Canis lupus familiaris: one gene and its partners. The protein of the gene in region 2 purifies or fractionates together with the protein of the main gene of each other region. This does not show direct contact. Links are inferred from orthologs where the notes say so. Each region holds a gene or a part of one and is shown on either strand. Other genes may lie near its edges.

What was found. Proteins that work in one complex are often made in the same cells at the same time.
Region 1: the proteins of POLR2H (region 2) and MED26 purify together in Homo sapiens (affinity purification with mass spectrometry; 3 studies listed by BioGRID and IntAct, with this or other methods). This does not show direct contact. The link is inferred for Canis lupus familiaris from reciprocal best matches to the Homo sapiens genes POLR2H and MED26.
Region 3: the proteins of POLR2H (region 2) and POLR3E purify together in Homo sapiens (affinity purification with mass spectrometry; 3 studies listed by BioGRID and IntAct, with this or other methods). This does not show direct contact. The link is inferred for Canis lupus familiaris from reciprocal best matches to the Homo sapiens genes POLR2H and POLR3E.
Region 4: the proteins of POLR2H (region 2) and POLR1E purify together in Homo sapiens (affinity purification with mass spectrometry; 3 studies listed by BioGRID and IntAct, with this or other methods). This does not show direct contact. The link is inferred for Canis lupus familiaris from reciprocal best matches to the Homo sapiens genes POLR2H and POLR1E.

The regions. Positions count from the first base shown.
Region 1 is NC_049241.1:46,379,603-46,383,102, forward strand, and holds part of MED26 (mediator of RNA polymerase II transcription subunit 26), read left to right. Parts: intron 1-1,902; coding exon 1,903-1,977; intron 1,978-2,798; coding exon 2,799-3,500. UniProt on the Homo sapiens protein: Component of the Mediator complex, a coactivator involved in the regulated transcription of nearly all RNA polymerase II-dependent genes.
Region 2 is NC_049255.1:17,408,529-17,412,809, forward strand, and holds the start of POLR2H (DNA-directed RNA polymerases I, II, and III subunit RPABC3), read left to right. Parts: upstream 1-1,481; 5' UTR 1,482-1,643; coding exon 1,644-1,716; intron 1,717-3,082; coding exon 3,083-3,166; intron 3,167-3,249; coding exon 3,250-3,343; intron 3,344-4,281. UniProt on the Homo sapiens protein: DNA-dependent RNA polymerase catalyzes the transcription of DNA into RNA using the four ribonucleoside triphosphates as substrates.
Region 3 is NC_049227.1:23,577,138-23,580,637, reverse strand, and holds part of POLR3E (DNA-directed RNA polymerase III subunit RPC5), read left to right. Parts: coding exon 1-65; intron 66-463; coding exon 464-546; intron 547-2,985; coding exon 2,986-3,093; intron 3,094-3,500. UniProt on the Homo sapiens protein: DNA-dependent RNA polymerase catalyzes the transcription of DNA into RNA using the four ribonucleoside triphosphates as substrates.
Region 4 is NC_049232.1:54,129,950-54,133,449, forward strand, and holds part of POLR1E (DNA-directed RNA polymerase I subunit RPA49), read left to right. Parts: coding exon 1-33; intron 34-2,377; coding exon 2,378-2,436; intron 2,437-3,426; coding exon 3,427-3,500. UniProt on the Homo sapiens protein: Component of RNA polymerase I (Pol I), a DNA-dependent RNA polymerase which synthesizes ribosomal RNA precursors using the four ribonucleoside triphosphates as substrates.

The sequences.
Region 1 (3,500 bases), on a different chromosome or scaffold from region 2:
CAGGCATGAGAACATTAATCTCATTGTTCGTCGCCATCAAAGCTCTTGGGTACCATGTACACTGTCAACAAGCGGTAGTATTTTGAAAGGAATCTTTTTTCCTAAACGCGGTATGTCTCAAGAGTAGGCTTAAAATAGTCTGTAAACCATGTGGCAAATTGATGTGCTGTCATGAGGCTTTGTTGTTCCATTTCTAGAGCTCATGCAGTCAATTTGGCATAATTCTTATGGGGCCCTAGGATTTTCCAAATGGTAAATGAGCATCGGCTTCAACTTAGTCACCAGCTGCATGAGCCCCCAATAAGAGTCAGCTTGTCCTTTGAAGCTTTGAAGCCAGACATTGACTTCTCCTCTCTAGCTATGAAAGGCCAGCATCTTTTCCCAATAGAAAGCTGTTTGGTCTACATTGAAAATCTGTTGTTGGATGTAGCCACCTTTATCAATTATCTCAGCTTCTTCTTCTGGATACCTTGCTGTGGCTTCTACATCAGCACTTTCTGCTTCACCTTGCACTTTTAGGTTACGAAGTTGGCTTTTCCTTAAACCTCACGAACCAACCTCCACTGGCTTCAGACTTTGCTTCTGCAGCTTCCTCACCTCTTCCAGTTTTCAGTGAATTGAAGAGAGGTAGAGCCTTGTTCTAGACTAGGCTTTGGCTTAAAGGAATGTTATGCTGTTTGATCTTATATCCAGACTACTCAAACTTGGTCCACATCAGCAGTAAGGCAATTTTGCTTTCTTCTGCTTGTTCACTGGAATAGCATTTTAATTTCCCTCAAGAACTTTCTTTGCCTTCACAGCTTGGCTAACTGTTTGGAACAAGAGGCCTTTCTTGGTTTGGGGCTTGGGGCAGGCCTTCCTCTCACTAAGTGTACTCATTTATAGCCTTTTAAAATTATTATTAAAAGGTTTTATTTATTTGAGAGAGACGGGTAGCGAGAGAGAGCACAAGTGGGGAGGAGAGGGAGAAGCAGACTCCCTGCAGAGCAGGGAGCCCGACTTGGGGCTCAATCCCAGTATCATGACCTGAGCCAAAGGCAGACGCTTAACAGACTGAGCCACCCAGATGCCCCCCATTTCTAGCTTTTGATTTAAAGTGAGAGATGTGTGACTCTTCCTCACTTGAACACTTCGAGGCCATTTTGTAGGGTTATGGGTTGGCCTAATTTCAATATTGTTGTGTCTCAGGGAATAGGGAGACCCAAGGAGAGGAGACAGAGGAATGGCTGGGCAGCGGAGCAGTCAGAACACACACAGTATGAATCAAGTTTGCCATCTTGTATGGGTGCAGTTTGTGGCACCCCAAAACAATCACCAATAGTAACATCAAGAATCACTGATCACACAGATCACTGTAACAAATATAACAATGGAAAAATCTGAAATATGATCAGAATTACTAAAATGTGATACAGAGACACAAAGTGAGCAAATGCCGTTGGAAAAATGCCACCAACACTTGCTCAATGCAGTGTTGCTACAGACCTTCATTTGGTAAAAAACACAGAATCTGTGAAGTGTATTAAAGCAAGAACAACAAAAGGAAGTATGCCTTTATTGTTCTTTTAAACTTGGTGTTTTATTTGATAAATCTTCAGCACCCTGCCCCCCGCCCCCATGAGATGGTAGAGTAGAACACCTCTGCCATATCAAGAGCAGATCTTATTTCATGAATGTCATGGGTTTCAGCCATGTGACAACCACTTGGGCAGGCAGGCATGTCCATGGACGGGCTCATGAGCACTGGGTACCTTGTTGGCTCTGGGAGCAGGTAGGAGGAGGAGGCTGCATGGGGTGAGAACTCTGGTGTTGCTTGACTCCACTGGCCCTTGGGGAGAGAGGCCAGAATGGGCTAGAACAGGGAGAAGGGCAGAGGTTTGACAAGCGGCTCTTGTTTTGCAGATCCGGAACATGGTGGCGGTGCTGGAAGTCATCTCCAGCCTGGAGAAATACCCCATTACCAAAGAGGCACTGGAGGTGAGTGTCCCCAGGACCCAATATTGGGTGGGCAGAGCTTGGCCTCCCCCAGCCCAAGTCCTTCGTGGCTTCTTGGAGCCTTGTGCTCTCACTGGCCAGATGAGGACTTAGTAGTGCTGAGTGAGGGGGGTGCATACTCTCCTGGCCTTTGCTGTGCCCAGAAGCAGCATTTTCCTATAGGTACTGCAGGAATCGGGTGGCTTTAGTCCCAGGCCTGGGAGGCATGCCTGAGGGGTTAAGCTCCAGTGAGTGATGCTGGCTCAGGCCCTCCGTTTGCTGTTGCCTTTGCCATAGCATTTCTCCCAAAGAGCTTCCTTGGCATAGTGTCATTTCACTGGCTTTGATGGTCCACAGCCTCCAGGTCAGAAGCCTGTGGGATGGTGCTTTTTTTTTTTTTTTTTTTTTTAAGATTTTATTTATTTATTCATGAGAGACACAGAGAGAGAGAGAGAGAGAGAGAAAGAGAGAGGGGCAAGCAGAGGAAGAAGCAGGCTCCATGCAGGAAACCTGATGCGGGACTCAAGATCATGCCCTGAGCTGAAGGCAGGCGCCAAACTGCTGAGCCACCCAGGGATCCCGGGATGGTACTTTTGAAGATGCCTCCTGTGGCCCTGAGACCCTAAAGTTTAAGGACTAGATTCTTGAAGTTAGATGTCACAAAGGACACCAAATCCTTATGGGTTTTGTATCCAGGAACTCTGTGGTTTAAGGGTCAGTGGGATTAATCAAAGACTAGGGGCCCTTCCCACCGTTTCTGGCTCAGCTCCCTTTTCATGGGGGACTTCTTTCCCAAAAGCATGTCATCGTCTCTCTGGTTGTAGGAGACTCGACTTGGGAAGCTCATCAACGACGTCCGCAAGAAAACCAAGAACGAGGAGCTCGCCAAGCGGGCCAAAAAGCTGCTGCGGAGCTGGCAGAAGCTCATCGAGCCCGTGCACCAGAATGAGGCGGCGCTGCGAGGGCTGGGGGGAGGCACCGGCTCTGCCAACGGGGGTGCTCATAACTGCAGGCCGGAGGCGGGGGCGGCCGGCACGCCTAAGAGCATCCATGACCTGAAGAACCGCAATGACATCCAGAGGCTGCCTGGGCAGCGGCTGGACAGGCTGGGCAGCCGCAAGCGCCGCGGAGATCAGCGTGACCTCGGCCACCCTGGGCCACCTCCTAAGGTCTCCAAAGCCAGTCATGACTCCCTGGTACCCAATTCGTCCCCTCTCCCCACCAACGGGATCGGTGGGAGCCCCGAGGGCTTCCCTGGTACCCTGGACGGCAGTGGGCACTCGGGCCCTGAGGGCGGCCGCCTGGAGCACGGCGAGAGCGACAAGCACAGCGGCAAGATTCCGGTCAATGCCGTGCGGCCGCATACCAGCTCCCCGGGCCTAGGCAAGCCACCCGGCCCCTGCTTGCAGACAAAGGCTGCAGTGCTGCAGCAGCTGGACCGGGTGGATGAGACTCCAGGCCCTCCCCATCCCAAGGGGCCGCCTCGCTGCTCTTTCAGTCCCCGGAACTCACGGCACGAGGGCTCC
Region 2 (4,281 bases):
CGGGGCGGCAAAGCCGTCTAAATCACACCCTTTGGGCTCAATCTCTCAGGAGTGACGCCTTCTCTTGCTTCTGGGGGTGGGGGTGGGGGGGCGGGCAGCGGCTCAGACGGGCCTCGCAAGGCCCCTCTCTGCTCCGTCGAGGGTGAGAAGCAAAGCTGGAGGGACTCGGAGGGGGACGCTAGGCCCAGAAGGCGGGGGTGAGGACGTGATGCTCGGAACTGAGACCCTCCCGTGTCTCTCATCCTCTTCCCTCCTCCTCTTCTCCAGGGTTCCTCTTCTAGGAAGTCACACCTGGAGCAACCTGGCCTGCGGGGTGTACGGGGTGGAGACAGGGAGGAAAGGTGAAGGGGTGAGGCCCGAGGGGAGAGATGTCTAGGTGCTGGCGAGGAGGCTCCTGGAAGGCGGGCGTGGGGGTACAGAGGTCGTTTTTCCCTGGCGGGGCCCAAGGAGAAACTCGAGTAGCTGCTGACGTCTCGCCGCCACCTGGGGATCTGTGTTCTCTCTCAGGGTCTGGAGAAGGATGGAGCAGAGGGTGGGGTGAGCACAGGGTGGATGGACAATGTAGGAGAGAGCGTGTTAGGGGAGAGGCGGGTGCCCAGGACACGGGCAGTGTGCGGGAGGACGCAGTACCAGGATGGAGGGGCCCGCGGGAGGCAGAGGCGGTGCCCAGGAAGGGGCAGTGTGAGAGGAGCGGCACCCAAGAGGAGGGGGGGCTCGTATCCGTGGGAGCGGACGGTGCCAGCCTGAAGGGGCACGTAGATCAGCGTCCAAGGGAGAAGGCGGGGGGGGGGGGGCAGGTAGTACCAAGCTGCAGGGGCAGCGCTGTGTGATGGGGTTAAACGCCAGCCGTCAGCCGGGCTGAAGAGGCGGAGTGGAAGAGAGTGGGGCCCCGGGGAAGAGGGCAGTGGTAGGGGGGTGCTGTACCAGGGGAAGGGACGAGCGCAGGCTTTCCTCTTCCCCATAGTGACATCATGGCAAATTCCCAAACGGGACGGAGCCGGCTCGGGTGACATCCAGCAGGGCCAAGCCGGTCCAGCCCGGTCCAGCCCGGTCCAGCCCGGGCCCGGCTAGGAAGCCTCGGTGCCAGCTGTGGGGACTGGGCTCTGCGCCCCGCAGGGTCAGCGCGCTGGGGGCGGAGTTCCGCCCCGTCCGCCCTCCGCGTGGACTGTGCCCTCGGCGGGCACGCAGACCAGCAGGGGAAGGTTTGCGCCGGGCTTCTCCGGGCCAAGGATCAAGGTCCCGGGCTGGGGTAGGCCCGCCCGCATTCCAGGCGTCCCGACCCGGCCTCTCAAGAGGGCGCAGCCGAGCCTCCGCGTACAGCGAGACGCCGCGCCGCCTCGGCTGGAGGTGGAACTAACCGGGTCCCCGCCCCGGGGCGGAGCCACCCGGCCCCGAGTCCCGCCCCCCACTCCCGAGGCCTCTCGGAAGGCGTCGTTCGGGGCGGAAGTCCGCGAGCCCCGAGGCCCAGGCGGCGGAAGTGGCGGCGGCGCTGCCTGCCCGCGCGCATGCGTGTTTCTAGGGCTCTGCGGCCGCTCTCTGGGCGCGCGCTCTCCTTCTCTCCTTTACTCCACGCGAGGGGGAGCGCGTACCCCTAGGCGTGGTCGCGCTCCCGGCCCCTCTCGTACTCTCGTGGCCACCTCACCATGGCGGGCATCCTGTTTGAGGATATTTTCGATGTGAAAGACATTGACCCGGAGGGCAAGAAGTTTGACCGAGGTAAGGTGGAGGTAGACGTAGGGGCGGCCGAGTCAGGGGGTAACCTCCTCGGGGACACGCCTGTGGGCCCCTGGTCCACCCACGCCGCGTGGCCCGCCCCTGCCGGCAGTTCCTGACTCAGGAATCCCCATCAGGAGACCTTGGATCGATGGGAACTCGGCGTCTCCCGAACTCCGCCTGGCTCCACACAGGCTGGCCCGGTGCCTGGGTGGCCCGTTCTCATGGTGCTGGTGCACCCCCGTGCATCTTCCAGTCGCTCCCCACTCTGCTGGGCGCTGTAGCGTGCACCTTACACACACTTCGTCCTGCCCAGTTCTCTCAGGAGCCTCCATGAAGTAGTTGGTGTCTTACCCATTTTGCCCCGAGAAGTTAAGTAAGCTACCCAAGGCTGCACAGTGACTAGTCCGACTTCAGAGCCTGTATTCTTGTATTGTCCTGAGAATCTCTAGCCCTTTGTGACATCCGCTCTGAATTAGGATTGCTGCTTGCCATACAGCTCTTTATTCTGCCGTTGATCAGACTGGGCCTCCTTGGGGGTCTCTTCTTTTGTCCAGAGACTGAGATGTTCTTCAAGACAAACACCAGGTCTTAACAGTCCTGATAGTCCACTCAGCACAGCAGCTGGCACAGAAAGACAAAACTTTTTTTTTTTTTTTTTTAAGATTTATTTATTTGATAGAGAAAGCAGAGTGAGAGCGTATGAGTGAGGAGGAGGGGCAGGGAGAGAAAGAGAGACAAGCAGACTCCCTGCTTGAACAAGGAGCCGGATGCGGGGCTCCATCCCAGGACCCCGGATCACGACCTGGACTGAAGGCAGATAAACAACTGGGCCACCCAGGCGCCCTGAGACAAAACCTTTGGGGGGATCCCTGGGTGGCTCAGCGGTTGAGCACCTGCCTTTGGCCCAGGGCGTGATCCTGGAGTCCCGAGTCGGGCTCCCTGCAGGGAGCCTGCTTCTCCCTCTGCCTTTGTCTCTGTCTCTCTCTCTGTGTCTCTCATGAATAAATAAATAAAATCTTTATAAAAAAAAAAAAAAGACAAAACCTTTGGATGAATGAATAACTTGTCTAAAGTCAGGTTGTTTGTTAATCACCTAGGCAGGCCTAGAACCTGGATATTATTTATTGCCAGAGGGACCTTTGGTTGTTTTCTGGGATTCTGTCCACTTGCCATAGTTTTCACTCCTTTCCTTCTGGCATATCTGGTTCTCATTGAGTCTGCACTTCTTTGAGAGCAGACGTGAGGCTAGTGGATGCAGATGGGGTTCGAATGAGTGCTCAATTGCATGTAATCCCCCAAAGTGGGGTCTGCAGGGTCTGCAGAGCCTGGCAATTACCTATGCCACTCTTTCTCTACCTCCCTCCAGTGTCTCGGCTACATTGTGAGAGTGAATCTTTCAAAATGGACCTGATCTTAGATGTAAACATTCAGATTTACCCTGTAGACTTGGGTAAGTATTGAACACAGACAATAGCAGAAGGCTTTTTGACATTTCAGCTGTTCTTTAGCCTCTGGTATTGCCATGATTTTCAGGTGACAAGTTCCGGTTGGTCATAGCCAGTACATTATATGAAGATGGTACCCTGGATGACGGTGAATACAACCCCACAGATGATAGGCCTTCCAGGTGAGGAAGTGAAGTACTTCCCTCTCAGGAAAGGAGTACTTGAAATACGCTTGAGGACTAAGTAGATAAGTGGTATAGGAAAAAACCCTTATTTAATTTGTGGAATAAATGATTATCAGTAGTATCTGAGCAACCTTAAGGAAATTGCTGCACTTAAGAATTCAATGGGGATCCCCAGGTGGCTCAGCGGTTTAAGCGCCTGCCTTCGGCCCAGGGCATGATCCTGGAGTCCCTTCGGCCCAGGGCATGATCCTGGAGTCCCGGGATTGAGTCCCGTGTCGGGCTCCCTGCATGGAGCCTGCTTCTCCCTCCGCTTCTCCCTCTGCCTGTGTCTCTGCCTCTTTTTCTCTCTCTCTTTCTCTCTCTCTCTGTGTCTCTCATAAATAAATAAATAAATAAATAAATAAATAAATAAATAAATAAAATCTTAAAAAAAAAAAAAAAGAATTCAAACAACCAGGTAGCCTGGATGACTCATGGCTCAGTGGTTTAGCGCTGCCTTCAGCCCAGGGCTTGGTCCTGGGGACCTGGGATCGAGTCCTGGGTTGGGCTCCCTGCATGGGGCCTGCTTCTCCCTCTGCCTGTGTCTCTGCCTCTCTCTCTCATGAATAAATAAATAAAATCTTAAAAAAAAAAAATTCTAACAACCAGGTGTTTTTCCAGGGCAGCAATTACATGCTTGTGGGTTGTACCTTATCGATGGCTAAGGAGATGACCATCAAGTGACCCAGGCTATGTGAGCCTTGCGTCTTGGGAGAGAGTTTGGTGTGATGGAAGGGCTTTGGAGCTCTACTGAGTTCAAATCTCAGCCCTATCAGTTCTTTGTTGAATGGCTTTAACCTCTTGCAGCCTCAGTTTCCCCATCAGTAAAGTGCAGATGATCACACCTTGCTCATATGGTTGCTGGGAGGACTAAATGGCATTGTGTTTGGAAAACG
Region 3 (3,500 bases), on a different chromosome or scaffold from region 2:
AAAGGGGAGCAGATTGCACTCAATGTGGACGGCGCCTGCGCGGACGACAGCAGCACTTACTCCTCGTGAGTTCCCTGGGTCCAGCATCCAAGCTCTGACGGGCCCCGATCCGAGCCTTCCAAAGGCCTGTAAGACACCAAGGCCCTTGTCCCTCATTGCCAGGCTCCCTCCCAGAGTCCCAATTTCACATGCTTGGGTCTGGTGCAACGCTGCCCCGTGGCAAATGTCTCCTTTGATGGGGGTGGGGGCTTGACCTACTACTTGTCCCTGGGCCACAAACCAGGTCTTGAGTTTTCTCTTCCCCAGCTTCCCTCCTGAGGCTCGCACATGCTGAGGTGGGGCCTTGCGCCCTGTCCCTGGGTGTTGAACTTTGGAAGGTGTCTGGGGTAGAGAGGGCTATCCCTGCTGTGCTTTGAGATTGGAGCTTCCTTCCCCTTGACTTCTGTTCTCCCCATGCTCCCAGGAAGCTGATGGACAAGCAGACGTTCTGTTCCTCCCAGAGCACTAGTAACACAGCCCGTTACGCTGCTGCGCTCTACCGGCAAGGTACCCACACTGGGCAGCCAGGCTGCTGTGGCTCCTGGAGGCTGCTTGGAGGGAAGCAGGATGGGGGCTGGGATGGGGTGGGCTATCTCTAGCCTGGTACTCAGCTTGCTATTCTCCGAATACCGGACACCCATAGGGGCCAGGCTGGTTGTGGAAGTGACATTGTCAGGGCGCTGGAATAGGCCACTTCTGAGGATTTCTGGCTTTGGATCTTGACCTGATAGAGATGCTGCTTCCAAGGTCATTGTCCTCCTGGGACATAGGCACAGCCTAACTCCCCCTACTCACTTGATCGTGCACTCTCTCTCCCTCTTCCTCCTTCTCAAACCCCCCCGCCCCCCAAAAAACAAAACAAGGTGCTTGTGCATGAGCAGTTTTACTCTTAGCATCTACCCTAGAGAATTAAAATGTCTGTCCACACAAAAACTTGTACATGGATGTATCATAGAAGCATAATAGTGAAACAGTTCTGTCAGCTGATGCCTGGATTGCACAGTGCCATGCCATTAAAAGTTACTTGGCCACGTGAAGGAATGAAGTACTCCTACATCCTCTAGCATGCATGAACCTTGAAAATGTGATGCTCAGTGAGAAAAGCCACTCACAGAAGGCCACATATTCTGAGTCCATTTATATGAAGTGTCCTAAAGAGGCAAGTTTGTAGAGAAAGCAGGTCGTAGTTGCCTGTGGCTGGGAGGAATATGGAATGGGGAATGACCGAGGATGGGTTCAGGGTTTCTATCTAGGGAGACAAAAATGTTCTTTGGGGGGTGGAGGGAGTGAGAATCCCAAGCAGGCTCCATGCCCAGTGCAGAGCCCAGCGCAGGGCCTCAATCTCAGGAGCCTGAGATCATGACCTGAGCCGAAATCAAGAGCGGAACACAGCCGAGCCACCCCAGTGCCCCTGAAATGTTCTTAAATTGACTATAGTGCTGGTTGTACAACTCCAGGAACATATTAAAATACATTGACTAGTTTGCTTTAAATGGGTGAGTTTTGCATGGCACGTGAATTATATCTCCGTAAAAGCATTGAAAGTAAGTGTAGAGTTCATAAAACAATAAGTAAAGCTAATCTGAACACTTAGGAAACAAACTAGAATAGACTCAAAAGTATTATCAGATAAATATCTTTCTTTTTTGCGTCTGTGTCTCACATCTTGCAACTAGGGCCATTCATTTTTCTTAACTATTTTTTATTGTTAAATATACTTTTTAAAAAAGATTTCTTTATTTTAGAGAGTGCACACTCCCAGGAGGGTGGGTAAGGGTAGGCAGAGGAAGAGGAGAATCTTAGACTCTGTGCTGAGCACAGAGCCTGACACGGGGCTTGACCTCACAACCTTGAGATCACGACCTGAACTGAAACCCAGTCAGACACCTACCTGACTGCGCCACCCAGGCACCCCTCATTTTAACCATTTTTAAGTGTATATATAGTTCAGTGACATTGAGGGCATTCAAGTTGGTGTACCACCGTCCCCACCATCCATCTGCAGGACTTTTCCCATCTTCCCAACGTGATTGTATTTTTCTGTAGCCAAATTGCCTGTCCTGTCTTGTTCTTTAGGATTCTTTCTCCCATCCTAGAATTTTTTTTCTAGTATTTAAAGTTTAATTTTATACAAAACTGTTTAACATTTCTGGAAATTATTATTATATGGAGAGTGAGAAGATGATTTTTTTTTAAATTTTTTTACTTCCGTTTTAATGAACAAAGTGTTATATTCGTGTCTGTCGTACAATGGAGTGATTCAGTGATTCTGTACCTGGCTCGGGGCTCATTGTGATACATGTGCTCTGACTCCCCATCGCCTATTTTACCCATCCCCCACCCCCCTCCCCTCTGGTGACCATCAGTTTGTTCTCTGTAGTTAAGAGTCTGTGGGTTCTGTGATTGTTTTGTTTTGTTAAGTAGGCTCCACACCCACCCAATGTGGGGCTTAAACTCCTAACCTAGAGGTGGAGAGTCACATGTTCTATAGACTGAGCCAGCCAGGAGCCCCAAGTCTGGTTTTTTGTGTGTGTGCTTTTTTTCCCCCATTCTTTTGTTTCTTAAATTCCACATATGAGTGAAATCATTTGGTATTTGTCTGACAAGGGCCTGGTAGGAAGAGCAGGCTGTGTTTGGAAGAGTTGCCCTGTGTGTGCCAGAGTGAGCTACTGGCAGGGAGGTGGTGGTGACCGGGGTTGGGAAGGCCTTAAAGGCTTAAAGAAGCAGCTTTGAGCAGAATGCTCTAGGTATATGCCATTGTGTGCTTACTGCATCCTCAGGGCCAGGTGGGATTGGGAATGGCCACATTCCCAGTGGTCCCAAGGCTCTGGGACTGGGGGCTAGAGCAGAGGTGAGGTTGTTTTGGCAGCAGGCCAAGGCCAGGATGGGATGGGTGGGCTAGCCCTAGTTCCTAGAGTCAGGTCCAAGCCCTTCTTCCTCTGCCAGGTGAGCTTCACCTGACGCCTTTACATGGCATCCTGCAGCTTCGGCCGAGCTTCTCCTACCTGGATAAGGCAGACGCCAAGCACCGAGAGAGGGAGGCTGCCAATGAGGGTGAGCTCTGGGGCCCTTCTGTCTGTCTGCTTCTTGGCGGGATGGGTTGGTCATGGAAAAAATCACTGCAGAGGGGGATGCCTGGGTGGCTCAGCTGTTGAGCATTTCCTTTGGCTCAGGGTGTGATCCCAGAGTCCAGGAATCAAGTCCCTCATTGGGGTCCCTGCATGGAGCCCGCTTCTCCCTCTGCCTGTGTCTCTGCCTCTCTCTGTGTGTCTCTCATGAATAAGTAAATAAAATCTTTAAAAAAAAAAATTAACTGCAGAGGGATGGATTCCAGGATGCTTAGCAGCATCCCTGGGCTCTACCCACTGGATACCAGGAGCACTCACATCCATAGTTTTGGCAACCAAAAATGATTTCCTGCATTTCCAAGTGTCCCCTGGTGGACAAACTTGCCCCCAACT
Region 4 (3,500 bases), on a different chromosome or scaffold from region 2:
CTGAATTGTTCAACATGCAGCCACTGTTTGCAGGTAGGACCCAGTCACGAAGGCTTGCAAGAACACTGCATGTTTTAGGTTTGCTGGATGAGTTTGGTTTTGATTTGTAAAACACATTTGTTATTTTTAAAAGGGTGCCTTCCTGCAAATATTTATTGATAACTTACTTTGCTCCAGGCACAAGTTAGTGGCTAGGGATGTAGCAGAACAGATACAGGTCCTGTCGCTGCTATGTTTACAGATTTGAGATCAGAAAATAATCAGTTAAAGCCATTTGAGCAGGGTTGCCTGGGTGGATCAGTTAAGCGTCTGCCTTTGGCTCAGGTCATGATCTCAGGGTCCTGCTCAGCAGGGAGTCTGCTTCTCCCTCTTTCTCTGTGCTTGTGGTCTCTCACTCTCAAATCAGTGAATAAAATCTTTAAAAGGTGGGGAGGGAGACTAAAAGGTGGTGAGGGGGACGCCTGGGTGGCTCAGCGTCTGCCTTCTGGGTGGCTCAGGGGCTGCCCTGGAGTAGAGGCTTTAGAGAAGATGGGAGTTACTTAGAGGTTAGACAGCCCTTTTCATGTTGATGAGAAGTCTCTCTATACTTTCTAATTAGGAGGAGATCCATTTTTTCCCCTAATTTAGTGAGAGAGCTTGTACTGCTTCTCTTCTTTGGCATTTTATGATGCTCAGGGCCAGAGTGTGGGATCTTCCAGAATGATAGGTCAGAGGGTCAGACTCAAGGGGCTCCTGTTCTCTAAATCTTAAATACTGAGAACCACAGTGAGGGAGGGTATAGTTGAGGAAGGATTGTTAGGGTCACAGTAGATCTGCCTGATGCCTTCCAAGGCAGTAGTTCTGGCTTTATTCCTGCAGAGCAGTGGTGCCAGTCCTTTCAAGAATCTGAAGGACCAGGGGATCCCTGGGTGGCTCAGCGGTTTAGAGCCTGCCTTTGGCCCAGGGCGCGATCCTGGAGTCCCGGGATCGAGTCCCATGTCGGGCTCCCAGCATGGAGCCTGCTTCTCCCTCTGCCTGTGTCTCTGCCTCTCTCTCTCTCTCTCTATGTCTATCATAAATAAATAAATAAATCTTAAAAAAAAAAGAAAGAATCTGAAGGACTGGACCTACTTTCCAGAAACATACGTAATACGTAAGAATATATATGAAATTTTGCATATAATTGTAAAGGGCTCTGAGTCCCATCTGCGACTCTCCTAGGGGTCCAGAGTCTGTAGGTTAAGGACTCCTTGCTTTGCGAACAAATACATCTACATTTAAATTATCCTCCAGGGCAGCCGGGGTGGCTCAGGGAGTTTAGCTGCTGCCTTCAGCCCAGGGCGTGATCCTGGACCCAGATCGAGTCCCACGGGCTTCCTGCAGGGAACCTGCTTCTCCCTCTGCCTCTGCCTCTGTCTCTGTCTCTGCCTCCCCCTCCCTCTCCCTCTCTCTCTCTGTTTCCCATGAATAAATAAATAAAATCTTTAAAATAAATAAATAATCCTCCAAGTGCTCTTCTGACTTCCAAGGAGGCAAAGGAAATTGTTCTCAAATTTTTGTTTTTACAGGTAAAAAATGTGTAAATACTAGTTTATTCTAGCCAACATATATATACACGTACACACACATGCAGCATTTATTGAGTCCTTAACTATTTGTCAGGCACTGTTCTAAGTACTTTTAATGCACGAGGATTGTCATAATTCATGTGACAACCCTCTGGTGGTTCTATCGATGACGAAACTGGTACAGAGTTTGACAGGGACATAATGTTGATGTGTGTGTGTGTGTGTGTATATATATATATACACACACCTTTATATATAATTATAATGTGTATATATAAAAATATAAATTTCCTTTATCCGTCTTTATCTATCTATATGACCTGGGATTGAAACTCAGACAAGGCCACTCTAGAGCTTATACTCCTACCCTCTAGATTATACTGCCCTTATATGAATACTTTATGGGAGATAAGAGAGCTTCATGTAAGTAACACATACCTTACATTTATGCTTGCTTATCTTTTATAAGGCGGGCAAAACTATTTACTGCAAAGAGCCGAGGACTTGGTTTCTAATCCCATCTCGGCCACTGCCTGGTGAACTGACTTAGGACAAATCATTTCGTTGGGAGGCTTTTTCCTTATTTGTAAAATGAAGAGGTTGGACCAGATGACCCCTTCATTTGACTCCTTAATTTCTTCTCCATATCCTCCAACTGTATACTAAAGCGACAGACTAAATATTCATAGGATCCATCATGTTAAACTCTGGGAAGTCCTACAGTAAAGAAATCTGTCTGTCTTAGATTAACAGTGAATAAATATTAAATGCTATTATAATCTGGGCCTTACAGCTTCCTTTTTTCCTATTTTTGTTTTGTGTCTTGATAGATGAATCACTTGAGAGCGACTTGACACAAGAGAGTCAGGCCAAAACTTTTAGAGAAAAGGTAAGAATGACAGAAGTGAGACATGGGACCTGCCTCACGTTCCTTCTGTGCCTTGTGCTTCTCCATCAGGAAAATGAGCTGACTGAGCACAGGGCTGCTCCCAGCTCATTCTGTCTGTGGTTCTCCAGTCAGCCTGCCTGTGGAGGCTTCTCAGCTTCACAGAGCGCCGTCCTCCCGCCTGGGGCAGCTATACTCAGCTCCATCCCAGTGTTTGGAACTGATTCTCTGGGCTGACATAGGTGTAGTGTAACACTTGTTTTTGGATTGAATGCAAGTTTCAGAAAATTCTGGCTGTAGCCTGGAAGCTTTCACATTAAAACAGAGTAAACTTCAGGATTTTCAGCGTAGGTGGTTCCTATAAAGCTAATCTCACTCCAGGATTGCAAATTGATTGAGTCTTCAGTGCTGCCTGGAGCACTGTATTGAGAAGGTGTGAGGCTGTCTTCAGGCTCAGTGGGAAAGAGTGAGTGATTAGCAACATCTGCTATGGGTGTAAGGCTGGAAAATGGTAAGTTATGTGCCAGATTTACCAATCCTCATTCTGATCCAGGCTTTTCACTGTACAAATGGAGACACTGTTGATTTGTAAAGAGCCCATGACAGTTTCCAAAGCAAGTACTTCAGGGATCCCTGGGTGGCGTAGCGGTTTGGTGCCTGCCTTTGGCCCAGGGCGCGATCCTGGAGATCCGGGATCGAGTCCCACGTCGGGCTCCCGGTGCATGGAGCCTGCTTCTCCCTCTGCCTGTGTCTCTGCCTCTCTCTCTCACTGTGTGCCTATCATAAATAAATAAAAATTAAAAAAAAAAATTAGCCAAAGCAGGTACTTCAGATCTGCTAATACACCAGCCTGTGAGATAGAGAGGTATGATTTAGCCTGATTTATAGGTGAGGTAATCCTGGCCTAGAAAGGCTGAGTTTCCGCATGGTCACACAGCTAGGAGTAGTAGTGCCCAGACTGTCCCTACACAAACCAAATTTGTCTATGCACAGATGGATTCTTGCATTGAAGCCTTTGGAACCACCAAACAGAAGCGGGCTTTGAACTCCAGAAGAATGAACACAGT